5 linked regions of the Kluyveromyces lactis genome follow. The protein of the gene in region 5 interacts with the protein of the main gene of each other region in a biochemical or structural test. Links are inferred from orthologs where the notes say so. Each region holds a gene or a part of one and is shown on either strand. Other genes may lie near its edges.

What was found.
Region 1: the proteins of VPS74 (region 5) and SEC28 form a complex in vitro, tested with the Saccharomyces cerevisiae proteins (2 studies listed by BioGRID). The link is inferred for Kluyveromyces lactis from reciprocal best matches to the Saccharomyces cerevisiae genes VPS74 and SEC28.
Region 2: the proteins of VPS74 (region 5) and SEC21 form a complex in vitro, tested with the Saccharomyces cerevisiae proteins (2 studies listed by BioGRID). The link is inferred for Kluyveromyces lactis from reciprocal best matches to the Saccharomyces cerevisiae genes VPS74 and SEC21.
Region 3: the proteins of VPS74 (region 5) and SEC26 form a complex in vitro, tested with the Saccharomyces cerevisiae proteins (2 studies listed by BioGRID). The link is inferred for Kluyveromyces lactis from reciprocal best matches to the Saccharomyces cerevisiae genes VPS74 and SEC26.
Region 4: the proteins of VPS74 (region 5) and COP1 form a complex in vitro, tested with the Saccharomyces cerevisiae proteins (2 studies listed by BioGRID). The link is inferred for Kluyveromyces lactis from reciprocal best matches to the Saccharomyces cerevisiae genes VPS74 and COP1.

The regions. Positions count from the first base shown.
Region 1 is NC_006039.1:798,514-801,272, forward strand, and holds SEC28 (coatomer subunit epsilon), read left to right. Parts: upstream 1-1,306; coding exon 1,307-2,188; downstream 2,189-2,759. Other genes in the region: ARE2 (sterol acyltransferase), read right to left, coding at 1-696; GET complex subunit GET2, read left to right, coding at 2,499-2,759. UniProt on the Saccharomyces cerevisiae protein: The coatomer is a cytosolic protein complex that binds to dilysine motifs and reversibly associates with Golgi non-clathrin-coated vesicles, which further mediate biosynthetic protein transport from the ER, via the Golgi up to the trans Golgi network.
Region 2 is NC_006041.1:1,173,051-1,177,394, reverse strand, and holds SEC21 (coatomer subunit gamma), read right to left. Parts: upstream 2,889-4,344; coding exon 54-2,888; downstream 1-53. Other genes in the region: CCR4-NOT core subunit CAF40, read right to left, coding at 3,174-4,344. UniProt on the Saccharomyces cerevisiae protein: The coatomer is a cytosolic protein complex that binds to dilysine motifs and reversibly associates with Golgi non-clathrin-coated vesicles, which further mediate biosynthetic protein transport from the ER, via the Golgi up to the trans Golgi network.
Region 3 is NC_006039.1:1,329,099-1,333,139, reverse strand, and holds the start of SEC26 (coatomer subunit beta), read left to right. Parts: upstream 1-1,212; coding exon 1,213-4,041. Other genes in the region: KLLA0_C15301g (uncharacterized protein), read left to right, coding at 1-957. UniProt on the Saccharomyces cerevisiae protein: The coatomer is a cytosolic protein complex that binds to dilysine motifs and reversibly associates with Golgi non-clathrin-coated vesicles, which further mediate biosynthetic protein transport from the ER, via the Golgi up to the trans Golgi network.
Region 4 is NC_006042.1:478,776-482,963, reverse strand, and holds the start of COP1 (coatomer subunit alpha), read left to right. Parts: upstream 1-1,281; coding exon 1,282-4,188. Other genes in the region: CRR1 (putative glycosylase), read left to right, coding at 1-781. UniProt on the Saccharomyces cerevisiae protein: The coatomer is a cytosolic protein complex that binds to dilysine motifs and reversibly associates with Golgi non-clathrin-coated vesicles, which further mediate biosynthetic protein transport from the ER, via the Golgi up to the trans Golgi network.
Region 5 is NC_006041.1:216,712-219,527, forward strand, and holds VPS74 (Vps74p), read right to left. Parts: upstream 1,486-2,816; coding exon 511-1,485; downstream 1-510. Other genes in the region: CTS2 (putative chitinase), read left to right, coding at 1-325; ubiquitin-specific protease UBP2, read right to left, coding at 1,936-2,816.

The sequences.
Region 1 (2,759 bases), on a different chromosome or scaffold from region 5:
TGCAAAATAACTAGTCAGGTACATTGCGATATCATATAACGCAACTTTCCAAAGATTCATGGTCATGTATCGCAAGATAATTGACTGTGAAAAATCACCATGTTCCTCGTAATATTGTAATGTCACTTTGCAGATGGTGAACGCAACTGCCATCCAAAATAAGACATAGAATCCAGAAAAGTCTGTTGCTATAGTTTCATTTGCAATTTCAATAGTATTATTGTCATCTATCCTCACCGTATTTGATCTGGCTGTTGCCTTTACTCTAGAATATTTCTCGTCTATTGCTGGCCCATTGAAATGAGATCTAAGCGGATTGTTGACCATCTCATCCATGATACTACCTCTAGAGCCCCAGTCTACATCTCGTGTCATGGACTGCATTTCATTCGTATCCTTCTTATATCTGTTCTTTTCCTTCACCTTCAATTTCTGCATGAAAACATGCAGATGTTTGTCGCCTTGTTCGGAGGTGGTTCTAGTCTTAAAGATAACCGTGTCGTTAGGCTGGACCGTGTTGAAAAGAACGTCCGGAGATCCAAGTTCATCGAGAACAGCATCCTCCAACTGTTCCTCATGCAAAGACTTCCTCTTCCCATGGTTGTTGTCGTTCAGCCTTCTTATCCTCAAGAACTGCTCATCCTCAGTTATATCCTTAACGGTGGTATCATGTGAACTGTCACTTGAACCGGACATTATGACAGGTTTTTAATTAAAGATCCAGTTAAATAAATCTTTTATGATATATTAACGTGGATTGACTCTTCACCATGAAATTAGTCTGAGATAAATCTAGGCCAAGTCGTGATTCGTCTTAAGAAGGAAAAAATTCTTGCTAACCTCTCTCTCTCACTCAGACGTTTTAAATATAAATCTCAAATCCGGAATTAACCAATGGTCGTAAGAAGTGTACTGTTAATTACTGAATCTGTTTCCTTTTCCAACCCGTATCGTTTAAACGTCCAAAGTAACTGGCTCTGAATTTCTTCTGATAAATACTCTCAATCCCTTAAATAAACGCCATATGGTGATCCACACCTTCGAGAATTATTCGAGAAAGGAAAAATACAAAAAAAAAGATCACGTGAATGAAAAACATCCATTACCCTGATCCTGTCAGTTTTTCAGTTTTGGACAATTCGCATGGTGGATCAAAGTAAGATAGCATATGGACTCTCAATATTAAAGGATACGTGTGAGATAGACCCGTTAATGAGCCAGTAAAGTCGCTTTCAATACACGATAACGGTTAATTGAAGTTTTCCGACGTCAGATTTGTTGAGAAAAAAATATCAACTCAGAAGAAATGGACTATTTTACTGTAAAACAGCAGTTTTATACTGGTAACTATGAAGAAGCGTTGAACGAAGTTTCTAAGTTTAACAAAACTGAAGATGAGGCGTTGACTTACTACAGAAATAGATCATTGATTGCATTGTCCCAGTTCAGTGAGGGTAGTGCTGATTCTGGCTCACTTGGGCCTGTATTTGAGGCTTACTATAAATTTTTAAGCAAACCTACAGGCTCAATCACTGCACTAGAACAAACCGTTGAAAAGGCGGGCAGATCTCCATTTGCATTGAACTTATTAGCAAGTGCATTGACTATAAAGGGCGAGTTTAAAACTGCTTTGGAGGTTGCCGTTGAAGGAATTGACTCCGATGAAACAAGAGGAACCCCGGAACTACTGTTAACGGCCATCCAAATAACTTTGTTGGATAATCAACCAACCATTGCCTCGACTATGTTTGAAAATTTCCAAGCACTTCAGGAGCAATCGAACGACGATGAAATAATTTTGAATCTTGCAGAGTCATACATCAACTTCAACCAGGGTAAAGAGATCACTGGATCCAATTTCTATTTCTTTGAAGAGTTGTCTCAAACTTTCCCAAGTTGGAAGACTCAATTAGGCCTATTGAATTTACACCTCCAACAATCGCATTTGCCTGAATCCAAAGCAATCATCGACCTCTTAGAAAGCGAGTTCTACGATATCAAACAAGAAGCACAAACGTACAAGCCTGATCTACTTGCAAATAAGATTACGTACACCATCTTATCTGGTGGAAATGCAAACGAATTGAGATCGGAATTGCAACAATTGAAACCATCTCACCCACTATGTGTTGCCGACCTTGAAAATAACAAGACTTTCGATCAAATTGTGGCAAAGTACACAGCCTAAATCTATATATATCAAATAGATCTTGAGTAGCAAATAGTATTGGTATTGGCGATACTTTCCGGGTAACATTGTTCTTTTTCCCATCAATTTCGTGGGAACTGTCAAGATAAAGCGGATTGATCAAACATCCTATACAATGTGAAGGGTTAGTTTTGAAACCAGTCACTCGGTATCGTTTTACAAGGCACCTGCGTTGTATTTAGTTCGAATATTCAGGGGAGTTGATCTTCTTATTTTGATTGTCGATCTAATTCTACTTTAGTTTCCCCCGAATTGAGCTGTAATTCACACAGAATTTGGAGTTTACAAGATGGCTACTGAATTGTCTGATGCTGAGAAACGTAAATTGTTGAGGGAAAGAAGGCAACAGAAGTTTTCCAACGGAGGTGCTTCCAGCAGGTTGAACAAGATCACTGGTCAACAGCAGAATAGCTTTTTGTCTTCAACATCTGTTCTTGATGAGCCAAAAGTTACTCCGTCAGGTAACAAGAAATCATCCAATGTGAGTGACGAAGAAGTTGAAAAGTCTACCAAAGAGATTCAAGATTTACTTTCTAGTATTCCCGGTAAC
Region 2 (4,344 bases), about 960 kb from region 5:
TAGATAGATATATATATATATAGGTTTTTTTTTTGTTTTCAAATGTACATATATTATATCAAGTTGTTTGATAAGTCTTCTGCCAACGATTCCTTGTCGGATTTCACTAGAGCCTTAATTGCAATACCCTTACTTGTCTTGATCATCTTGATGGAAAGCAGGGCTTTAGTGTTGTCTAAGATACATTTTCCTGAAAGTTTTAGAGTATGTTGGGTGGCATCGTGGGATACTATTTGTGAGTTTTCCAAAGGTAAACCACCAGCGCTAATGACTAACTTGTCGATGACTTCTTGTAGTGTGTTAGTTTCGACAATGTTGTAGACAGAGACGGATTCATAAGGTAGTTCTTCCAAAGAGGTGGCAAAATTGCTTACGAATGATGGTTTCATGTAGTCACCGGGACTCAAGAACAATGAATCAAATTCGTATTCATCTTGGAACCCTTCGTCATCTTCGAATGGCAAAGAGGTAGATGGGTCTAATTCCTTGGATTGGAATTTCAACGAGTTGCTGAATCTTTCTACAATGATATCATCCTTGTTCTGTGTTAGTTTCTTGAACGATACGTAACATGACTCTCCTTCATTGGGTAAGAGTCTTTCAATAGGCAAAACAAATTCCTCTTGTTCGTCAAGTAAACCCTCTGATAATCCTTCTTGTTGGCATACCACTTCAACGTTATCAAGCGCAACGTCCTTCAATGTGTTAGTGATATGGAATTGTAATACAACGTGCTCGTCAAACAAATGCTTGATACCCTTCACAACGAATTCAGCTTCAATTTCCGTTAATGGGACAATCTTGGAAGAATGGATACACTTGCCAAAGGACTGGAATTGTTCCAAGGAGGACATTTCATCCACGTATTTGGACAATAGCAAATCTTCTTCTTCAGATTCCAATGAAGGTCCATTGAAGCTATTGTCATCCAATCTATCACCCTTTCTACCACCCTTTTCAGTACCGTTACCATTTCCGGCACCACTGTTGGAAGATTCTTCTGTATGGTTGAAGGCTTGCTCTTGTCTGCGTTTCAAATCCAATGCCTTCTTCTCGTCTTCGGAGTATTTGGCAACTGACGAGACGTCAAATGGAGTCTTGAATGCCTCTTGGCCTTGTGACAAATAGTGTGATAGTTTTGATTCAAGAGCAACAACGTCATAGGTAGAAGTTGGGCGAATGAAATTTTGTGCGATATTGGAAACATCTTTCTTGGACTTAACCGAATCGATGAATTGCAAAGCAATGGATGCTCTATCTCTAACTTCATCATCTGAATCAGTCTTGATTTGAGTCAATAGCTGTTCAATACTTTCTACTAACTCAGGGTCATTCTTAACAAGTGCAAATTTGGAAAGAGACAACACAGCAGCAGATCTGATGATAGAATTCTCTAGAATAACTCTATTGTAAATGTGTCTCACGTATAATGACGGGTTCTTAGTGGTTGGACCCTCCTTACCCAATAGATGTAAGATTCTAACCAATATTTCATTATATTCACAATCTTCGATGAAATCACATAATTCTTCTAAAGCTTTTTCCTTAGATTGTGGGACGAATTGAATTAAATCAATTAATGCTTCCACGACACTATTTTTGAATTGAAGACTGCCTTCGGCAGATTGTAAGGATTCCATCAAGAAATGTAATATTGTATCACATTCCTCAGGGAAATTTAGAGAAAGAGTTCTAATAGCATCAATAATGATGATCTTGAAATCGTCATTCACCTCGTGGATGAACTTGGTAATTGTCTTAATCAAAGAACCAATGTTCTTGTCGGTACCAGTCTTCAACAAGGTAGTGATTGTGTAAGTGGAAATGTTTCTGTTGCTATCGTTAACAAGAGATTCCAATTGTGGATTACATACCACAATTTTCTCTGGTGAAACCATAGAAATCTTGTTCAACAAACGCACTGCAGCAAATCTGGTTGTCACACGAGGAGTGGACAAGAATCCTTGCAAGACAGAAACCGCTGCTGCAAACAAATCGTTAGGAACCAAGTTGGATAGAGACGCAGTAAGCTTACAAGCTTCCAAAGCAACAGCCTCGTGTCTGCTTTGCAACCAATTAGCTATTAGTGGTAAGAACTGGGGGATGGAGTTAGGATCCTTCAAAACCAATTGGTGCACGAATTTAACCATTTGTACTTGAGCCAATTGATTTTTCAATGGTGAAGAATGACCGGCAAACTGTTGGATCAATTTGATCAAAGCCATCTTATCGTGATTCTTCAATTGGTACAACAAACCCAATGCATGGTATTGAGAGATATGAGACGTAGTTGGATAATATCTACTGTTCTCATCTGGATATGGCAACTGTTTCAAATCACCAACGGCTTCCTGAGTCTCATTAGCAAATCTCTTCACCGTAGTTTCAGCGATTGGTAATAAATGGTATGAACTGACCAAAGAAGCAGAACAAATAGATGGATGTTTGCTAACCAACGAATTTTTCAATAATCTTTCTGCAGAAAATGCAGTGGACTCATCCAAGACACGGATCAATGCTCTAATAGCATTAGGCTTCACTAGATCTGAACCATTTTGAACATCTTTCATAATTGAAGAAGTAGCCATCAAGATATCATCGGAGATTCCACACAATTCCTTAATAGCCACGTAAACGATTTGTCTCAAAGAATCGTTAGGGTGTTGGAACAATTTCGAAATGGAAAAGAATAAAGCAGTAGCTTCTTGTCTAGGGAAAGTCTCACCATGCGACAATAGTTCCAACAAGCTTGTGATCAGGGTACGGCACAGTTTAGGATTCACAGGAGATTCATTGAACCGATTCAAACAATCCTGATAGATCGCCATTTTGTCTGGCAAGGACCCACTGTGTGGGTCCTCAGACTTCTTATAAGTTTGTGCAGACATGCAATTGGCAGTGCTAGGATACCTTCAAATGACGTACTAACCTTTAGTAGCCAATTTTGAGCCTATTAACCTCGTGTTTTATCCAATTCTTTTTGCCGTGTGGTATGGTATATATTTATATTCATAATGTTTTCAGTTTGCAAATCGGTAGAAGTCCTTTGGAATGAAAAAAAAAGTGAAGCGGGTGTGTGAAAGTGAGGGTAACACTTGTTTTTTAATTATGATATATATGTATATATATATATATATATGGATATGGAGATATATATGATATAGCAGGCAAGATCACTGCTGCTGTTCATCTAGAGTCAGGAGTAGTTGTGCAAGACATCTCTTGGTACCTACATCGTCCTGTAGTGCTTCATTGAAGGTGTTATCTCTTAGTTGTTGCGGCAAAACTTGTTTCAACAATCTTCTGGCTTCTAAATTATCCGATAATCTTAGGTAGCATCTTACAACATGTTTCAATAATCTTCCCGGCACCTGTTGTTGGGACATGTGCTTAAACATAGTTGCCAAAACTTGTGACACCGCGTAGAACCGTTCTGGGGTCGCGCATACGAACTGGAGTCCGTTATCGTCTAATAATATTTTCTGTAAGATGAAGATAGCGACGATCTTCGAAAGTTCTGAAGAGTTTTCCATGATTCTTAAACATAATGGGATAATATCTGTCCTTAGAAGGAAACTGATCACTTCTGCAGAATCGTTTTTCACTAGAGCACCGATGACACCTAGTGAAGTTAGCCTTAAATATTCAAAAGTTCTTTGGTTTGATGTCGTAGATAAGAATGGGAAAAGGAACAACGGGATGTGAGCCTGTAAGAATTGAGGCCTGATATCTGGGTGTGATGCGACACATTGTAAGAGCACCAAAGCGTTGCATACGCGGTTTGATAACTGGTTTGATAATGCAGGAGGTGAAAGAAGCGGATAAATTGAAATTATTTCCTTTAGCAACGACGTCATCACACCGAAACTGGACCACAGCACGATAGCCAAATCCTCATACTGTTCACGTTTCTTACCTAGTTCTAGAAGCGCTTGTTCTTTGCTTGGCCCGTAAGTGAGCTGGCATATCCAATGGTAGACATTTGGATCATCTAGCGCATGTGTTATTCCTGCTGGTGTGGGACCTGGCCCAGGAACTGAACTTGGTCCTGCAGTTGGCCCTTGGCCCATCCCAGGCATCTGACCTGGAAGTTGGTTGTTTTCTACTACTGGGTGGGGCATTCCTTGTTGCAAACCAGGAGGCATATTTTGGGGTTGCTGTTGTTGCTGTTGGCCCTGGGTTTGATTTTGACCCTGAGCCTGCCCTTGAGGCTGGCCTTGACCCTGGCCTTGGTTATTTGGGAAGTAAGGTTTCAATTGTGGGAAATATTTCCTGCGGGTTTGTTCCGAGAACACATTCCCCTGAGCTTGAGCCGCTTGAGCCTGGGGTTGCTGTTGAAACATG
Region 3 (4,041 bases), on a different chromosome or scaffold from region 5:
ACCGCATCGCTGGCAAGACGCAGTTCTTTATCTTCATCTAAAAAAGGTGCAGCATCTTCGTTATTAAGTAATACTGAATCTCGTCAATCTTCAGCACTGGAAGCAAAGTCCATTGATAACGACACCATCAACACGACTCCGTCATCAGAATTCAAGAAAAGTTTGACCAAGGGATCGATTCCAGATAAAAATGTTCGACTCATCTCAAGCTACATAGAAGAGCTACGGCTCTTGTACTTCCCCACGTCAAATTCCTTACAGTTGCCTCCAGATCTACCTTATGCTTTGAAGAACAAGAATACTCTTGAACAACCACAAAATATCAAAGTTACAATACGAACAAGTACTAGACAAGTCGGTATAAAGCACGGCAAGGCCAAACAGAAGCTATTATCACTTGAAACTACAAAAGAAGAGGAAGAAGAAGAGGAAAATAACAGTACTACAGGCCTCAAATTCAATACCGAGTCCACAAAAGTTGATCATACTAAGGAATTTCATACTTTGTTCAACAAGGATGAAAAAATTTCCGAGGCAGACCAAGATATTCTTGATGATATTCCTGGTGATGAGGCATACGATAGCGATGATTTAATGGCACCGTTGCGTGAGAACCCAAAACAAAGAATTCATGACGAAGTTTCCCAAACGCGCTTGAAAAGATCAGATACTGTATCCAGCTATTTCACGAGAAATGCTGGTAGAATGAGAAGCGGTACTCTAGACGTAACGTACAGTCCACAGCTACCACTAGATCTACGGAAATATAACCTGATTGAAGAATCTCAAAAGCCATGTACTCCTGCAGTACATGAAAAAGGTGACACTAATCCCAAATCTCATAAATCTAGCATTTCGAATGCTGACGATGATTACGAGCTTGACGTAGCAGATTTCGGTTACTACCGCGGTACCGCTGGAACAGGATTGCATATAACCAACCCAGATTCAGAATAAACTATCATTCAAACAATATTACTGCTGCATCTATATCTTGATCTATACGTATCTTGTACCAATGTATATATTAACGTTTCTAATACCCGGTCAAATTCATTGTTACCCGTACTTTGTTTTATGTTGATTTTCAGGACGAAAATGAGATTCTGAAATAAAGAACATGCTGTTTTGGAACAGTTCTGTTATGAAATAACATATGCGAGAACCAGGAAGTTAAAAGAAGCTACACAAGACACACAGGTCAATTGAGGTATGACAGTCGGCGTCGAACAACCTGCGTATACGTTAGTGTACGACCCCAATCCAAATGGGGTCACATATACCGTATCAGACTTCCAAAAGGCATTGGAAAAGGGGTCTGATACTGAAAAGATCGCGACCATGAAGAGGATCTTGGTGACCATGTTAGATGGTAATCCATTACCAGATTTGTTGATGCACATCATCAGATTTGTGATGCCTTCAAAGAACAAGCAATTGAAGAAGCTTTTATACTTTTACTGGGAAATTGTTCCAAAATTAGATCGTGAAGGTAAATTGAAGCAAGAAATGATTCTTGTCTGCAACGCTATCCAACATGATTTGCAACATCCAAACGAATACATCAGGGGCAATACCTTAAGATTCTTGACGAAATTGAAAGAAGCAGAACTTTTAGAGCAAATGGTTCCTTCTGTCCGTGCTTGTTTGGAATACAGACACGCATACGTTCGTAAGTATGCAATCTTAGCAGTTCTTTCCATTTACAAAGTCAGCGACCATTTGATTCCTGATGCTTGTGAAGTGATTGATTCCTTTTTGGTTGCAGAAACTGATCCAATTTGTAAGAGAAATGCTTTCCTAGGTCTTGCAGAATTGGACCGTGAAGCTGCGTTGAACTACCTACAGGACAACCTAACTTCGATTGAAAATTTGGATGCTTTGCTACAAAACGCCTTCATTAGTTTCATTAGAAAGGATGCTATCAAAACTCCAGGATTGGTCTCTCAGTATGTTGAATTGTTGCAAGATCTTTTAGTTTCTACTCGTTCTACGGATGTCATGTACGAAGCTGCCATTACTTTAACTGTTCTAACCAATAAAGAAGCTATTTTATTGACCGTAGCTAACAAGCTAATTGATTTGGCCACAAAAGAATCTGATAACAACATCAAGTTGGTTGTTTTAGAAAAAATCAACGAAATAAACGAGAAGAATCCAGGCTCTTTAGAGGATCTAACATTGGATATTCTACGTGTTTTGAACGCACAAGATTTGGATGTCCGTGCTAAGGCTTTGGATATCTCCTTAGAATTGATTACGTCCAGAAACGTAGACAGTGTAGTTAAGTTATTGAGGAAAGAATTACAATCTACTGCTGATAGCAGTAACGATAAAACTCTGGAGTACAGGCAATTATTGATCAAATCCATTAACAAAGTGGCAATAAGATTTATTGAAGTCTCCTCCAATGTTGTCTCATTGCTTCTAGATTTTATCGGTAACTTGTCGTCTGAAAGTGCCAATGATGTCATTTCCTTTACAAAACAGGTCATTGAAAGGTATCCTGAGTTAAGATCTGAGATTTTAACTACTTTGATTGAGACATTGCATGAAGTAAAGTCAGCAAAGGCTTACCGTGGTGCTCTTTGGGTACTAGGTGAGCATGCCCAATCCGAAGCAGAAATCCAGAATACCTGGAAGCACATCCGTTCAAGTATAGGTGAAGTTCCAATTGTTCAATCTGAACTGAGAAGAGTTCAAAATGATGACGAAGACGATACTGAAAAGGCCCCAATAGTATCCACAGGGCCGGTAGTTTTGCCAGATGGTACTTATGCAACCGAATCTGCTCTATCTGTCTCAGAAAAGGTCAAATCCACCTCAAACGAGGAAAAAGAAGCAAGACCTCCTTTACGTCGTTTCGTCCTAAATGGAGATTTCTTTACTGCCTCTGTGTTGGCTAACTCTATCGTTAAATTGGTGTTGAAATTCGAAAAGATTTCCAAGAACACTTCTGTAACTAACGCCCTAAAGGCCGAAGGGTTGTTGATTTTGGTTAGTATCATCAGATTAGGTCAAAGTAACTTAGTAGAAAAGAAGATTGACGAGGACTCTGCTGAAAGACTAATGACGGCAATTTCGGTATTGATGGACGAGATTTCTACCGAAGAAAGTCAAGCAGAGAAAGAACTTTTGAGTTTGGCATTCTTGGAAGCTACCAACGAATCATACAAATCAAGAGTCAATGTTACTTTGAAGAAGAATGCTGCCAAGAGATCAAACTACCTAGCCAAGCACGCCGAGGCCATCGATAAATCCATCGTTTTCAGACAATTTAAGAATGCAGGCTTGCACAATACCCCCGTCGATTCAATCGAAGAAGATATAAAATTGGCTACCACCGGTACTGTATCATATTCCAAACTACAAGCTAATTCTATCACTTCAAAATTGAAGAAGATCGTCCCATTGACTGGTTTCAGCGATCCTGTTTATGCCGAGTGTTATATCACTAATCACCAATTCGATGTTGTGTTAGATGTTCTATTAGTGAACCAAACCAAGGATACTTTGAAAAACCTACATGTTCAATTCGCTACTCTTGGTGACTTAAAAATTATTGACCACCCACCTAGCACCAACGTTATTCCACATGGGTTCCACAAAATTACGATAACAGCAAAGGTGTCCTCAGCAGATACTGGTGTTATTTTCGGTAACATTATATATGATGGTGGTCACGGTCAAGATTCTCGTTATGTCATCTTGAATGACGTTCATATCGACACAATGGATTATGTGAAACCAGCAATCTGCGATGATAACAGTTTCCGTAAGATGTGGAATGCGTTTGAATGGGAAAATAAACTTCGTATCAAATCCAAATTACCATCTTTACGCGGTTATTTAGAGAAGTTGGTGGAAGTTACACATATGAAGGTTCTAACCCCTGAAGAGGCACTCGGCGACAATGATTCCAGATTCCTAAGTTGTAACTTATATTCTAGATCTACATTTGGCGAGGACGCTTTGGCTAACCTGTGCATAGAGAAGGATCCAATCACACAAGAAATTGTTGGTGAAATCCGTATTCGTTCA
Region 4 (4,188 bases), on a different chromosome or scaffold from region 5:
AAATCACACAAGGATGGAAAAGCTAGAACTAAGTTCTGACAGTTTTGAAAATACTCATATTTACGAAGTCGATTGGGACCAAGATAGAATCAACTGGATTGTGGACGGTGTAGTAGCTAGAACATTATACAAGGAAGATACATGGAATGAGGAAAAACAAAGATACGAATATCCACAAACACCAATGAGATTGCAAGTGTCGGTGTGGCCAGGTGGAAGAGAAGATGCTGACCCTGGTACCATAATGTGGGCTGGAGGGCTCATTGATTGGGAAAACTCGCCCGATATACTTGAGAAGGGTCAATTTTATGCAACTGTGGAATCAATAGCCGTTACACCTTACGAAAACAAATTCTGGCCATCAATAGTTGATGAACTAGAAAGATTACATTTACCTATTGATGCTAATTCATTGTTAGATATTACTTACGATTACAATTATGACAAGTTTAATGAGCATACGTGGTTTGAAGATTCAGTCATTTGGAAGAAGGGCAAATTACCTTATTTATCTTCCTTGGACAAGAATGGCCTAAATCCGGGAAGACAGCAACAAAGTCTTTTGGTAGGTAAACAATTGAAGCAAGAGCAGGGAGATGGGCCGGATCAGAGTCCTTCAAACAGGTTTATTCAAGACACTAATAAACCATCGGAAAAAAATCATGAAGAACAAGATTTGCTCCTACGAAACGCTCTGCAGTCACGCGATGCTACCACAAATGGGGGTTCCAGTCACAATAACAGAAATCCTATCAAAAGATTGCTTAATATGCTACATTAATCAGTAAAGGTTGCCCAGATGTTCACATCTACACTATACATGTATAGATATATAGACCTATGTATACCACTCTCGTATATGCTATCTCTTCTAGCATTCTCTTACGCATAGAATCTGTAGAGATGCGTCTGGCACAAATTCGGGTAATTATTACCCTACCATTACGTCCTTTGCATACTCTTCGGATTCTTCCAATTTTCAAAAAGGACAACTTTTCAAATAAAACACGATCTTATTTCAAAATAGTAAGCCATATGTGTATTTTAAGTAATTTTATGAACCTTGAATGAAGCTGACTTTGGCTAATAAACAACGATCAAGGTACTTTGTCGTCTAATTGAGTTGTCAGTGAGGACTAACCATCGAAGGAAAGCTTCAATCGTAACCAATTGGTATATTGTTAACTGCAATTGTGACGTTTTCTTCCGAGTTATTCTTCTTATATTTCTCACAGTTTTTACTCAGATTTAGATCGAAGTCTTGAAAAGCTTGCTTTCATCATGAAGATGTTAACTAAGTTCGAATCAAAGTCTACCAGGGCGAAAGGTATTGCTTTTCATCCGTCTAGGCCTTGGGTTCTGGTAGCACTTTTCTCATCAACCATCCAATTATGGGATTACCGTATGGGTGTTTTGCTTCACCGTTTTGAAGATCATGAGGGTCCGGTACGTGGCATTGATTTCCATCCAACGCAACCTCTTTTCGTTTCTGCAGGTGATGATTATACTATCAAAGTATGGTCTTTAGAGAGCAACAAGTGTCTATTCACATTGGACGGCCATTTAGACTATGTTCGTACAGTATTCTTCCATCACGAATTGCCATGGATTATTTCCAGTTCCGACGATCAAACCATCAGAATCTGGAACTGGCAGAACAGAAAGGAAATAGCATGTTTAACTGGCCATAACCACTTCGTAATGTGTGCCCAATTCCATCCAGTCGAAGATTTGGTGGTTTCTGCTTCTTTGGATGAAACCGTTAGAGTTTGGGATATTTCAGGGCTAAGAAAAAGACATTCCGCACCAGGCACTCAATCATTCGAAGAACAAATGAGACAGCAACAGAACTTACTTGACGGAGGATTTGGAGATTGTGTGGTGAAGTTCATTTTAGAAGGCCACACTAGAGGAGTAAATTGGGCTTCTTTCCATCCAACTTTACCATTGATCGTTTCCGGTTCTGATGATCGTCAAGTGAAATTGTGGAGAATGAGTGCCACAAAGGCATGGGAGGTCGATACTTGTAGAGGTCATACCAACAACGTTGATTCCGTCATTTTCCATCCTCAACAGAATCTCATTATATCAGTTGGTGAGGATAAAACCGTAAGAGTATGGGACTTGGACAAGCGTACTCCAATTAAACAGTTCAAAAGAGAAAATGACAGATTCTGGTTAGTGAGAGCTCACCCAAACCTAAATCTGTTCGGTGCTGCTCATGATTCTGGTATTATGATCTTTAAGTTGGACCGTGAAAGACCACCAACTGCTATAAACCAAAATCAGTTGTTCTTTATCAACAGGGAGAAACAAGTCCAAATGTTTGATTACCACAAGAGAATCACTTCTCTACCTTATCTTTCTTTGAAAAACATCGGCAAGACCTGGAGTTCATTTAGAAGTATGTCTTATAACCCATCCCAACATTCCGTCCTTGTCAACTCCTCCGAAAAGGAAGCCAACAGGTTCAGCTTATGTGTCTTACCTAAACAACCTAGTGGAGCTGTTGAAGCTAGCAACGTCATCTCTGATGATGGTAGTTTTGCGATCTTCGTTGCTCGTAACAGATTTGTGGTGCACAATGGCAGCACTAATAGCTTGGAGGTTCGTAGTTTAGATAACAAAACCACAAAGTCAATCAAATTAACTGATACTGTTAAAGACATCACATTAGCTGCTCCTGGTACTGTTTTGATTCTATATTCTCATTCTGTGGTAATGATGGACGTCCAACAAGGTAAAATTCTTCATGAATTATCTTTAAAGAACATCAAGTATACAGTGTGGTCTCAAGATGGCCAATATGTTGCATTGATGAGTAAGCATACATTGACAATCGCAAACAGAAAACTGGAAATCGTTACATCAAACCATGAAAGTATTAGAATCAAGAGTGCAAGTTGGGATGAAACCGGTGTCCTAATTTATTCAACATTGAACCATATCAAATACTGTCTATTGAATGGTGATTCTGGTATCATTAAAACCTTAGAAAGAACATTATACATCAACAAGGTACATGGCAAATTTGTCTATGCTTTGAATCGTGAAGGGGAAGTAGAGATTTTGACAATTGATCCTACTGAATATCGTTTCAAGAAGACTTTAGTCAACAAAAATTTCCCTGAGGTATTGCGTATCATTAAAAATTCAAATTTAGTTGGTCAAAACATCATATCTTATCTTCAAAAATCAGGCTATCCTGAAATTGCGTTACAATTCGTGGAGGATCCTCAAACAAGATTTGATTTGGCTACACAATACGGTAATTTGACAGTTGCTCTTGAAGAAGCTGAGAAATTGAACAATGAACTTGTATGGGAAAGATTGGGCAAAGAAGCTTTGATCCAAGGTAACACAGATATCGCTGAATTGGTATATCAAAACACTAAGCAGTTTGATAAACTGTCTTTCCTATATCTACTTAAGGGAGACAACTCCAAACTGGCAAAAATGGAGTCTATTGCTGAACATAGATCAGATATTTCCGGCTTGATTCAAAATACCTTTTACAATAACTCAGTTCAGAAGCGTGCAAATGTCTTTTTAAATGCAGGCTCTGCTCCTTTGGCTTATGCAGTGGCAAAAGCTAACGGCGACGATGACCTTGCCACTTCCATTTTGGAATCCGAAGAAATTGATGAGCAAGACATTTCCCTACCAACTGAACTCAACTCCTCCACAAATGTAAAAACCCCTGTCATTTCTGCTCCTTTGAAAAACTGGCCGTTAAAGCAAGCTGAAGTCTCATTCTTTGAAAAAGCCCTTTTGGGCCAAATCGAAGATCTTGAAATTTCTGATGATAAGGAAGAAAATGTTTCAGATACTACCCAAAATGTTGGCCAGTTTGATTTAGGAGAACAAGATAACCTAGACTTTGATGATGAAGCTGTTGGAGAGGAAGAAGATGCTTGGGACCTAGACCAAAATGATTTGGAATTAGACGACGAGTTAGAGATCGAAGAATCCGAAGTGACTGAAGAACAAGTAGATGAATCAGAATTGCCAATGTGGGTTAAAAATTCAAAGCTTCCAGCAGTTCTAGTAGCCGCTGGAGCCTTTGATGCTGCTGCCCAAGCCTTGAATAAGCAGGTAGCCGTTGTAAACTTCGAACCCCTCAGGACACCATTCATTGATATATACGATGGTGCAAGAACTTATATGAGTGCTACACCAAATGAATTA
Region 5 (2,816 bases):
CGATGGTAGCAAGGAACAGTTTGACTCAAATGCAGTCTCAGCTTACTGCTTTGATCCTAAATCCAGAACATTTGTGGGGTATGACAATGTTCAATCCATGGATATCAAGGGAAAATACATCAAGAAGAAAAACTTGAACGGTGGATTTTGGTGGGAATCTTGTGGGGATTCCAAAGACCCCAGGAAGTCACTAGTTAACGCATTTAGTAAGGAAATTGGCCTGTCTGAAGGCTTTGTATCATTGTTCAAAAGCGATAAAGTAAAGCAATTTCATTTACAAAAGTACCCCAAGGATTATATTTCAAGTCTTTTCCAGAAGCTCTAACTTCAGCCTTTCATATCAGATTTCAATGAATGAATATCATTACCAAGTAATGGAATTTGTGCTCAAATCGAGTTTACATTGTGATTTAGAACTAGTCGGATATTGTCCGTAGAATTTTTGAGATACAAGTATATATATATATGTGAATGATCCACACTGTTCTTCGAATCATAATACTATGGACTTTATAACAATGTGTCCATACGTGAAAAGACCTCAAAAACTCCAGCAACAACTTCAAGTTGCAAATCTGAACCCGGATGATTATTTAATTCCTGTGAAATCTCTTTATTTAAGTTCACTGAAACACCGGTGCTTGTTTGTTTATCGAGTGGGAACGGAAATTCTGAAAATTGAGCTAGAATTTCATCCGCACGAGCAAACCCTGTATCTCTCACTTCGTAATCTAAGGTAGCCAAGACATTTTCTAGAACATTAGCACCATAAGCACCACAGATTAAAGACAAGGTTCTAATATATTTAAAGGAAACATCTTGTGGGAAATAGGTATTATAAGTCAATTCAGCATTCCTTGAAACCAGTATCGATAGTATTCTTCTTTTAATAGATTCCTTGCAAGTTGTATCAGTGATCGGGTGTGTGGCCATGTCAAACAAAAAGAAGTTCTTCATTTCAGTTCTCAAAACACCTTTGTCAACCAATCCCTTTGCTAATCTTTCCCTAACTTGTTTCAATTGATAATTGATCTTTAGGAGATTCCAAGTCTCGCCACTAAGTAGGTCAATCCATCCGACAATTGAAGTTGGTGGATCGTTCTTCATTAAAGATAAACTTTCATCAAGTAAGACCTCGCCAGTTTTACTTCCGTCTATGACTTCAATTAATCTCTCACTGACATCGTATCTCTTTCTTGCTGGATCATCAACACATCTAATCTTACCTCGTAACGCTAGTTCTATCAAGATGCACCCACGTAGGGCGTACGAGATATTATCGTTCCAGAATGATAAATATCCCTGTTTATCCTTTAGTCCCATCAACAAAACTTCCTCCATTAAGGTCAACTTAGGAACACTAGTGTTGTCCCTTAGTTTCGCCTCTTGCTCGTCATATACAATCTTATGATCATGCTCATTATCTATTTGAGGGATTGATTCCGTTGTATCACCTTTATTAACTCGGCGACGCTGTAAAGACATGATGAATTTTTACCCTATTTTTTCGGCGTGCAACTTTGCAAGTTCACTTCTTGACAAGTCACAGTCCAATTGTCGGATAACAGAATTCCAATCCTACCTTCAAGTCAAACCTAATGACTTAAAGCCAATTGTGACACGAAGAGTAAATCTTTAAAATCATTCACCATAGATATAAACTAGGTTTGATCAAAATCAGTTAGTTATTTTTCATTTTGATGTTTTTTTTTTTCAAATTAGATCAAGGTAACTAACTAATTAAGAACTCCTGCCTGCCTTGCGAAAATCAATTTACCCTCACATGTGGATATTGAATCGAAGATAGTATCCGCACAGTAAGCCTAACTGAACGCCAGATCTTATAAATTTTACCAATTCCTGCATTACATACTGATCTATCTTTTAATTAATATAATGTAAATCATATTTATGCCACTTTAAGAGCGACACGGGTTACTCCTGTTGTTGAAGAATTCGTTTCAATGGTTCGATAGTTTCTTGTTCTTGACCTTCACGGACGTAGACCAAAAAGTATGGAGTGGCCGTATTACCCTCCGTGAAGTTGAATACTTCCGATTGTGGCACCTCTGTAACTGAGTCATCATTATACTTCCTCCAGATACCATTTTTGGTGTGATCTTTAATATAGACCCAGTAATGGCCGTAACTTGCTTCACCACGATGAATGAAAACGGCGAATAAAGAATAGCCGATATGTTTGAATTCGCTGAACTGTTGGGAAATAGTTGTCTCTAGATCTGTAATTTTGTTGAATAAGCTCTTTAGTTCCTCGTCTATGTTATTGATTAAAATATCAATGTAGGCGATCGATGAGGGGATATTGTCCGCATCAATATCGTGCGCTTTCAAGGTACCGGACTGTAAGAACTTTTTGGTCTCAATGAGCGAGGATTTTAAAGTTAATCCTATTTCGTTCTGTGAGAGTAGTTTCCTCTGTCTTTGCTTTAAGTCTTGAAGTTTCTGTTTCAATTCTGCGTTTTGTTGAATTTCTGCTAATAGTTTTGGATCCTCGGTAGCCATATATCTATCCATGTACAACGTTTCGCCGAAAGGTAGCGGCTCGATAGACTTGAAAGGCATGAATTTTTCTCTATCATAATAGACTCTCTGGATTTGAATTTGTAGAACCGCAGGTAACTCTGAGATAGATACAGTTCTCTTTACATCACCATACTCCTCCAAATTCAAATAGTCATTCTGAAAGTAAAAATCTAAAGCATCATAAATATCCTTTGGATGGTCACCGGTGTTAACCAATAAGGATAAAAACCTTTCATATTTTGTCCGGACAGAAGCCTCATCATTGACTGGTA